Xenopus tropicalis: one gene and its partner. The protein of the gene in region 1 purifies or fractionates together with the protein of each later gene. This does not show direct contact. Links are inferred from orthologs where the notes say so. Each region holds a gene or a part of one and is shown in the gene's direction. Other genes may lie near its edges. The genes, in order: ube4a and ubxn4.

Region 1 (3,922 bases):
AGTGGCATATACAAATCAAACAGCATGCAGGGCTTTTCCTCCTTACTACTCATTGAGAACCTTTTCCTGTTGGGCAACTCACGGTACTCGCGCCAAGTGTCCCCTTCTAGGTGATCTCCCCGGTACTCACGCCAGAAGGCACCCCCTCTTGGGGTCCTTCCCGGTACTCACGCTAGGCAGCCTCACCACAGGCAGCCCACCCCGGTACTCTTGCCTAAGCCCCCTCAGATCCAGCCTCCTGAACTAGCGGTGACCTTGTCCACCTACCTAGCCACTTGTGGCCCTGCACTCCAGCAGATGTAATGCCGGGAGGTCTTAACCTCACTACCACTCCTGGAGGGGCAATGTCTGCCCATTCTAGCTAGGTGACCTACATATCACTCCTAGAATGATCTCTTACATGAACTACTATCTTAACTGTGCCTGGGGTACTCCTGCCTGGAGCAGTCCCCAAAATGTCTGCCTCACAGCACATGGCTGCAACCCCTTATATGGGCCTATGCACCACCCTGTGGCCATAACCCGAACTCCAGTCATCCCAGTGTCCCTGTTACCTAGGGGTTCCTGTCCTAAGGGCCCATTTTTGGTAAACCCCTACATTTACGTAAACTCCACCGACCCACTATGAAAAGACTGACTTATCAGCACATCAATTATTTTTACTACCGACTATTGGTTGGGCCCCTCAGTAAAATCATTGGGCCCTTAATCTTACGTAGTTTACGTAACTTTTATACCAAGCATTGACAGTGCAGAGCAGGGGCAGCAAGGAGTGCAGGGGGAGTCCCAAATTGCCACATAAACTACAGTATGTCTGTCCTCCAATAAAATAATACTGGCATGCTGATATATACAGTATATACTACCAGCATATGCGTATTCATAGACAGCACATTAATACCTGAGGAAAGCTAGTTAAGCCAAAACATGTCGTGCTCAAACTGCTGCAATAAAAGTCATAAGTTACTTCGTCTGCTCTCTGGGTTATTTCTTTAAAGAACATCAATACAATTCATTTAAAGGCAAAGAAACATAATTATTAGCTGTTAATGAACATCTCCGAACATTGCAAAGAAAAGGCCACAATCTGGGTCTAACCTATCGAACTATAGACGCTTTCGTTTTTAATTGGGCGCCGCGCCGATTCGTGACGTATGACGCTCCAACGCTGTGTCGATGCGGTGCGATGACGCCTGGCTACGCGCCGCACTGGTGCGCTGACGTCAGATTGGCGCGACCTTACAATGACGGACCAAGAAAACAACAACAGCTTTTCAGCCAATCCTTTTGCTGCCCTGTTTGGGTCTTTGGCTGAGGCTCGCCAATTTGTGGCTGGTCAGAAAGAGCAACTCAGGCAGACTGGTAAGTGGGAAACGTTTGCTTGATATGTCCTCTTTTTATTTAGTTCAAGTAAATCTTTCAATGACAGCACCATCGACAGCACCACTAAATTGGTGTTTGGCTCTTCTCTATTACTCTGGCTTGCTTTATGTTGAGTCAGATCAGAGCATTTTCCTAAAACACTAGTTAACCAACCTTTATATTCCAGAGGATGATGCTGAAGAGAGCCAAGATGAGTCAGACAACAGCGTGTCAGAAAGCCTGGATGATTGTGATGACTCTGTGGCAGAAATCAGTCGATCTTTTCGGTCCCAGCAGGAAATCTGTGAGCAGCTAAACATTAATCACATGATCCAAAGGATCTTCCTCATTACCTTGGACAACAGTAAGTTACTAATTCCTACAAGATGTTTTAGGCAGATGGATAAGCTGCGATAATTTTATTTTCCAAAGAATTTGTTAAACTGCATGTGAAACAGCATTTTTTTTGCACCCTACCTGAGATGTTTCATAATGAGATAATGATGGAGATAAACTGATCCACAATATCAGATAATCATATAGAGTGTTGGAATGTATTACACTAGCAGAAGAATCTGTTATATTGCAAGGTCTAGTGGAAAATAGTTGGAAGTTATCCAAAATATGTGTATAAAAATTATTGGTTTCATCAGCTTAATTCCAAACAATAAGCAGAAAGTTACATTAACTGGAAAATATTTCATACATTTAATATAGGCATAGTAATGCTTAATCAAACAATACATTATTCAATTAGATTTTATGCGTTTATTAAATATTATATATGAAACAATTCTATTTATATATTACTTACTTAATAAACATTGTCAGTGTATGGTCCCAGAGGTGGTGGCCAGCCAGGGTATTAGGTTTTTTTTTGTTTGTTTTTTTACTTCATTTTGGATTTTATTAAGTTATTATACTTTGTTGTCTTGTGTAGAACAAATAAGGCCCTGAGCCAGGAGCGGTAAGCATGGCAGAGCTCCAACCAAGGAGTTTTATGACTTCCAATACTATGCAAGCTTAAGCAGATTTATTTAGAGGGGTCTTAGTCTATCTGTTTGGATTTAGTTTGAACAACACAAAATCGGTGTGAGCTATTGACTCCCTTTGTCAGTTAAAATAGCACAGAAAGATATAAAGTAAAAGTCTAAAATATACCTAATCTCTTAATAGTGAGATGTGTAAAGTCCTATATGAGAAATATACCACATCTATTTGCCATATGATTTACCCCTGGGGACAAAGTAAAATTGTAACTAATATAAGCTGTGTAAATATGTGTGTGTGTAGCACTGCATGCTACAGGCTTTATTTCAAGAAAAAAAAAAATTATGGTTCAGTGTTTTGTTTATGTTCAGTGACCTTCCTCAGCAGGTACAAGTTTGCTCAGCCTTTCTGTGTGACATTGAAAGGAGACATAAAGGAGAAATAAAAAACTCTAATCTGTGATAGAACAGTAACACGTCTGAGCACATCAGTGGTCAGAATGTCCTGTCTGCCATTAGGCTAATTTAGCACTGGCAAACTTTACAGTTTACCCACATATGTTGTTTTCTATACACTACATCCAAATAAATGGATGATCACTTAAGTCAGGGGTAGGGAACCTATGGCTTTAATAAAATCTTTAATAAAAAAAATAATGGGGGGCGTGGCCTGCGCTTGGCAGATAGATGTGTTCTAAGCCTTAGAACGCGTCTTCTATCCACCGAGCGCAGGCCACGCCCTCGTCCGCATCGCATCCTTGCCACCCACCCTACCTTGCCCCTGCACTCGGCGGATAGAAGACGTGTTCTAAGCATCCTTGGGACCCACCCTACCTTGCCCTGCAGCATCCACGGCCAAACATGTATGGCTCTCAAAGAATTACATTTTAAAATATGTGTTGTTTGTGGCTCTCTCAGCCAAAAAGGTTCCCGACCCCTGACTTAAGTTAAGCTTGCATGGCTTATTTGCGATTATGGATACATTCTTTCTAGTATGCATTACTACTTTTTACTACAGTACTACATGGATTTTTTTAAGGCTGGCCTTCTCCTTCCAGCAAATTTGCACTACCAGATAACTTTTTAAAGGAGGCAAGGCTCATATTGATAATTGTATCATTGCTGACAGTGCTGGTTAATAAAGTGTTTTTTAGATATTTGTAAGTGACTCCACTATTTCCTTACCTGTTTGTATATAATATGCATTGCTTTGTCTTGTAGGTGATCCCAGTCTGAAGAGTGGGAATGGAATTCCTTTACGTTGTGTGTATTTGGAAGAGCTTGGATCAGAGCTGGATGGGCAGGACTGGCTTGACATGGATAATGTTGAACAGGTATTAACAAGAGCGCTAATGGATGAGGCCACACAGCATAGTATAAACACAGTATATTTTGATCCTATTTTATGTTTCCTGTAGGCTCTGTTTACACGACTACTTCTCCCAGAGCCAGGAAAGTATCTAATCTGTATGACATCCTCTGGAGCCCCCAATTTATCTGCAGAGAGAGATGCTGGAGAGAAACAAATAATCCCATTCTTATTTTCCTGTTTTCGTAGAGCCAAGAAAGAG
Region 2 (3,922 bases), on another chromosome or scaffold:
AGGCTAAGTTATTTGATGAGTATTTAGTGACTGCATATGGGGATATGAAAGTTAGCAGGGCTAGCTGCACATCTCGGGCAGTGATCTGTTGGGGTACGGCCCATCTGGCGCAACCTTAATGGTGTGATATGGACAGTCCCTCTTTTGACAGCTCAGCTCCCAGTCCCGGATTCTTACTGAATTGTCCCTCATTTCCCTCATCTCCTGCACTGAAGCAGGACCCCAAACCCCCCAGAAATGTGTTCAGACCTTAAATAACCTGCCAAATTTAGTCAAATGGGAGTGGTATTTAGGGGGCGTGGTAAAATTTTGCCGTGCGTTATTTATTTTTGTCCCTCTTTCCATTTTCAAGGGAGGAATGTGTCCGGCACCATTGCCTCAGCCCATGCTCTGGTCAGTCCGGACACTTTCTTGGCCTGAGCCTGAGGGCAGTGCTGTGGAAAACATTGGGGTCACCACCTTTGCCAGTGCTAAACCTGAACAAAGGGGGCGGGGCAGCAAAGCTATAGGGGTGGGGCAGCAAAGCTAGGGGCGGGGTTATGATGCCAGAGTGCAGTTACTGCAGCGCTTACAATTGGCTGGAATTCCAGTCAGTTTGATTGGCAGCCCTAGTTCTGTCTTTATTCTGCCTGATGGGTAACTGTATGGGCTCTGTTATACCAGTTTTCCAGAAAGCTCAGAAATTTGCTCTTTATTTCTGTAACAATAAGAAATGAATTGAACTTGATAACTAAACAGGTGGCAAGCCCAGCAAGCTGCTGATTGGGTGGGAGGGAAGGGCAAAATAAATGGTATTACCCCAGAGAATGGCCTACATTAACTATACAGCAAAACTGAATAAAACATGACGCAATGATGGTAATTATAGGCGCAATTAGTGTATGAGGTAACTGCATATGCGTATGACATCATTACGGGCAGAGCGTATGGCGGCTTGGTTGTTTCCATGACAACAAACTCCATCAGCGCTGCGCTCAGTATTCACTTCCGCCCCACGTGGGCGTGGCTTATTGTTTGCGTGCGGCGTGAGAGCGGACGGCGTTACGTCACATCCTGTTTTCCGGCTTCGTCACCGTCTGTGTGTGTGCAGTGAGGGCAGTGAGGGCAGTGACAGGAGGCGGGCAGCGGAGTCGGACGATGCTGTGGTTCCAGGGCTCCATCCCGGAGGCTATAGCGGCCGCCAAGCAGCGCAACTCCGTGTTTGTGGTGTTCGTGGCTGGTGAGGAGAATGGATTCCCCGCCTCTCAGTGTATCGGGCAACTTGTCATAGGGGCAACTGGGCCTGAGGCACGGCCAACTGTCTGGCATCATAGGGGCATAATATGGGCATCATAGGGGCATAATATGGGCATCATAGGGGCACAAGGGCTGCCAGTATCGGGGGGGGGGCAATGATTGTTATAGTTGTCAGTTTAGCTAACTGCCTGTCAGAGGGGAGCCCATGTACTGGTACTAACTGCCTGTCAGAGGGGAGCCCATGTACTGCTACTAACTGCCTGTCAGAGGGGAGCCCATGTACTGCTACTAACTGCCTGTCAGAGGGGAGCCCATGTACTGCTACTAACTGCCTGTCAGAGGGGAGCCCATGTACTGCTACTAACTGCCTGTCAGAGGGGAGCCCATGTACTGCTACTAACTGCCTGCCAGAGGGGAGCCCATGTACTGGTACTAACTGCCTGTCAGAGGGGAGCCCATGTACTGGTACTAACTGCCTGCCAGAGGGGAGCCCATGTACTGGTACTAACTGCCTGCCAGAGGGGAGCCCATGTACTGGTACTAACTGCCTGCCAGAGGGGAGCCCATGTACTGGTACTAACTGCCTGTCAGAGGGGAGCCCATGTACTGGTACTAACTGCCTGTCAGAGGGGAGCCCATGTACTGGTACTAACTGCCTGTCAGAGGGGAGCCCATGTACTGGTACTAACTGCCTGTCAGAGGGGAGCCCATGTACTGGTACTAACTGCCTGCCAGAGGGGAGCCCATGTACTGGTACTAACTGCCTGCCAGAGGGGAGCCCATGTACTGGTACTAACTGCCTGTCAGAGGGGAGCCCATGTACTGGTACTAACTGCCTGTTAGAGGGGAGCCCATGTACTGCTACTAACTGCCTGTCAGAGGGGAGCCCATGTACTGGTACATCTGGCATCATGGAGATAGCCCAGGGACTGGCACAGCTAACTGTCAGTATAGTGGGAACCCGGGGACTGTTATAACCAATGTCCTGCCAGAGTGGAGCCCAAGGACTCGCTGCCGAATGTCAGTATGTGGGTAACCCAGGCAACATATTGGGGCATTAGAACTGTTCTCTGTAGCCCAGAGGCTGCTGTAGGCCACAAATACTAAGCTGTCAGCTTTATGATGGGCCATTATTATTGTCAGTGTTCATGGGGTTGCCTAGTAACTGTCAGCTTGTTGGTATGTATGTATATTTCATGTATATAATGCTACGTATGTGTGAATTCATAAACAAACAGGTTCATTACAATAATAGGTACAAAGGAATAAATACAAATAAATATAAAGTACAGTTGTATTAATGATTCCACCGAGGACGGGAGGATGGAGGTCCCTGGCCTGTAGAGCTTACAGTCTAAATAACTTACAGACACAAATAGGTGACACTGCAGTATAAGTGCCAGTTCCTAGTTCAGGTCTATGCGAGAGCCCCAAGGGGGGGTCTGTGAGTTCTGCAGAGACAGGGGGGATACCCTCGGCAGAAATTTGGGGAGAATGTACGAGCAGCCTGACAGTTACGGGTGACAGAAAGGGACAGATTTTGGCAATTTTGCATAAGAAAAAGTTACAGGTTTTGACAGTGGGGTTTATATGGTGAGAGAAGGAGAGATCCCCCCCCAAACCACGTGCCGAGTAGATAGGGTTAATGAGCGTGTCATCAATAGTAATGGGGGGGGCAGTAGGACCAGTAGATAGGGTTAATGAGCGTGTCATCAATAGTAATGGGGGGGGCAGTAGGACCAGTAGATAGGGTTAATGAGCGTGTCATCAATAGTAATGGGGGGCAGTAGGACCAGTAGATAGGGTTAATGAGCGTGTCATCAATAGTAATGGGGGGCAGTAGGACCAGGCTTGGGTGGGTAGATGCTCAGTTTTTTGTAAAGGGGAACCCTGTTATTTCCAGGCAAGTAGCTGTCGGCTTATAAAAAGGAGTAATTTTTCGATTGGGGGGAAACAGGTAACTGTCAGGCATCTGCCTTTACTAACTGTCAGCCTGTGTTTGTTGGCTGGTAGCGGGGGTGGGATTGGGGTTGCACAGTTTCTGTCACTGGCATCCTGTGTGTGAATGGAGATGGATCCTGGGGGCTTCTCTGGGCAACTCTGTGCCTGCCTGCCAAAGGGGCCCCAGGTCGCTGCCGCTAATAATGCTGTTATTGGATGGTATTACTGCGTGTATAGGGGACCCATCCAATAGAGGGGCAGCACTTTAGCCATTTAGTAATGAGGAACGGGGTGACAGTTAGAGTGACAGACAGAGCATCTCTGAAGGGCTCGCAGGCAGTTATTTATTGGCTTCAGTCTGAGAGTGCAAAGTGCAGTCACTGCGAGTTCCTGGCCCTACAGTACAGTCTCTTTATGAGATGTCCCTTGGATGCAATAATAAAATCCATTATTGCTCTATCCCAGTAATTATAGCCCGTCTCTCTGTTAGACTGCCTGGCACAGTTGGCACAGTTGGGCCAGCGGCACCATTGGCATCCTCTCTGCCGTTGTTGCTACGTAGTTTGAAAATAACATCCTAGTGAGCCTTGGGCCTCCATCTTGTTTCTTTTGTGTTTGTCTTGTTTGTGCCGTGAAGCTGCTCATTCCCTGTCACTGTAGGGCAGTCTCGCCAGCAGTCTCGCCAGCTCTTTGCCAAACTGTCACAACAAAATGCTTTCACTGCCCTTATTGGGAGACATAAGAA

What was found.
Region 2: the proteins of ube4a (region 1) and ubxn4 purify together in Homo sapiens (affinity purification with mass spectrometry; 3 studies listed by BioGRID and IntAct, counting the BioPlex papers as one, with this or other methods). This does not show direct contact. The link is inferred for Xenopus tropicalis from reciprocal best matches to the Homo sapiens genes UBE4A and UBXN4.

Annotation. Positions count from the first base shown.
Region 1 is NC_030683.2:81,297,665-81,301,586, reverse strand, and holds the start of ube4a (ubiquitin conjugation factor E4 A), read left to right. Parts: upstream 1-1,164; 5' UTR 1,165-1,244; coding exon 1,245-1,362; intron 1,363-1,549; coding exon 1,550-1,726; intron 1,727-3,572; coding exon 3,573-3,685; intron 3,686-3,769; coding exon 3,770-3,922.
Region 2 is NC_030685.2:84,078,066-84,081,987, reverse strand, and holds the start of ubxn4 (UBX domain-containing protein 4), read left to right. Parts: upstream 1-1,037; 5' UTR 1,038-1,137; coding exon 1,138-1,219; intron 1,220-3,922. UniProt on the Homo sapiens protein: Involved in endoplasmic reticulum-associated protein degradation (ERAD). Acts as a platform to recruit both UBQLN1 and VCP to the ER during ERAD.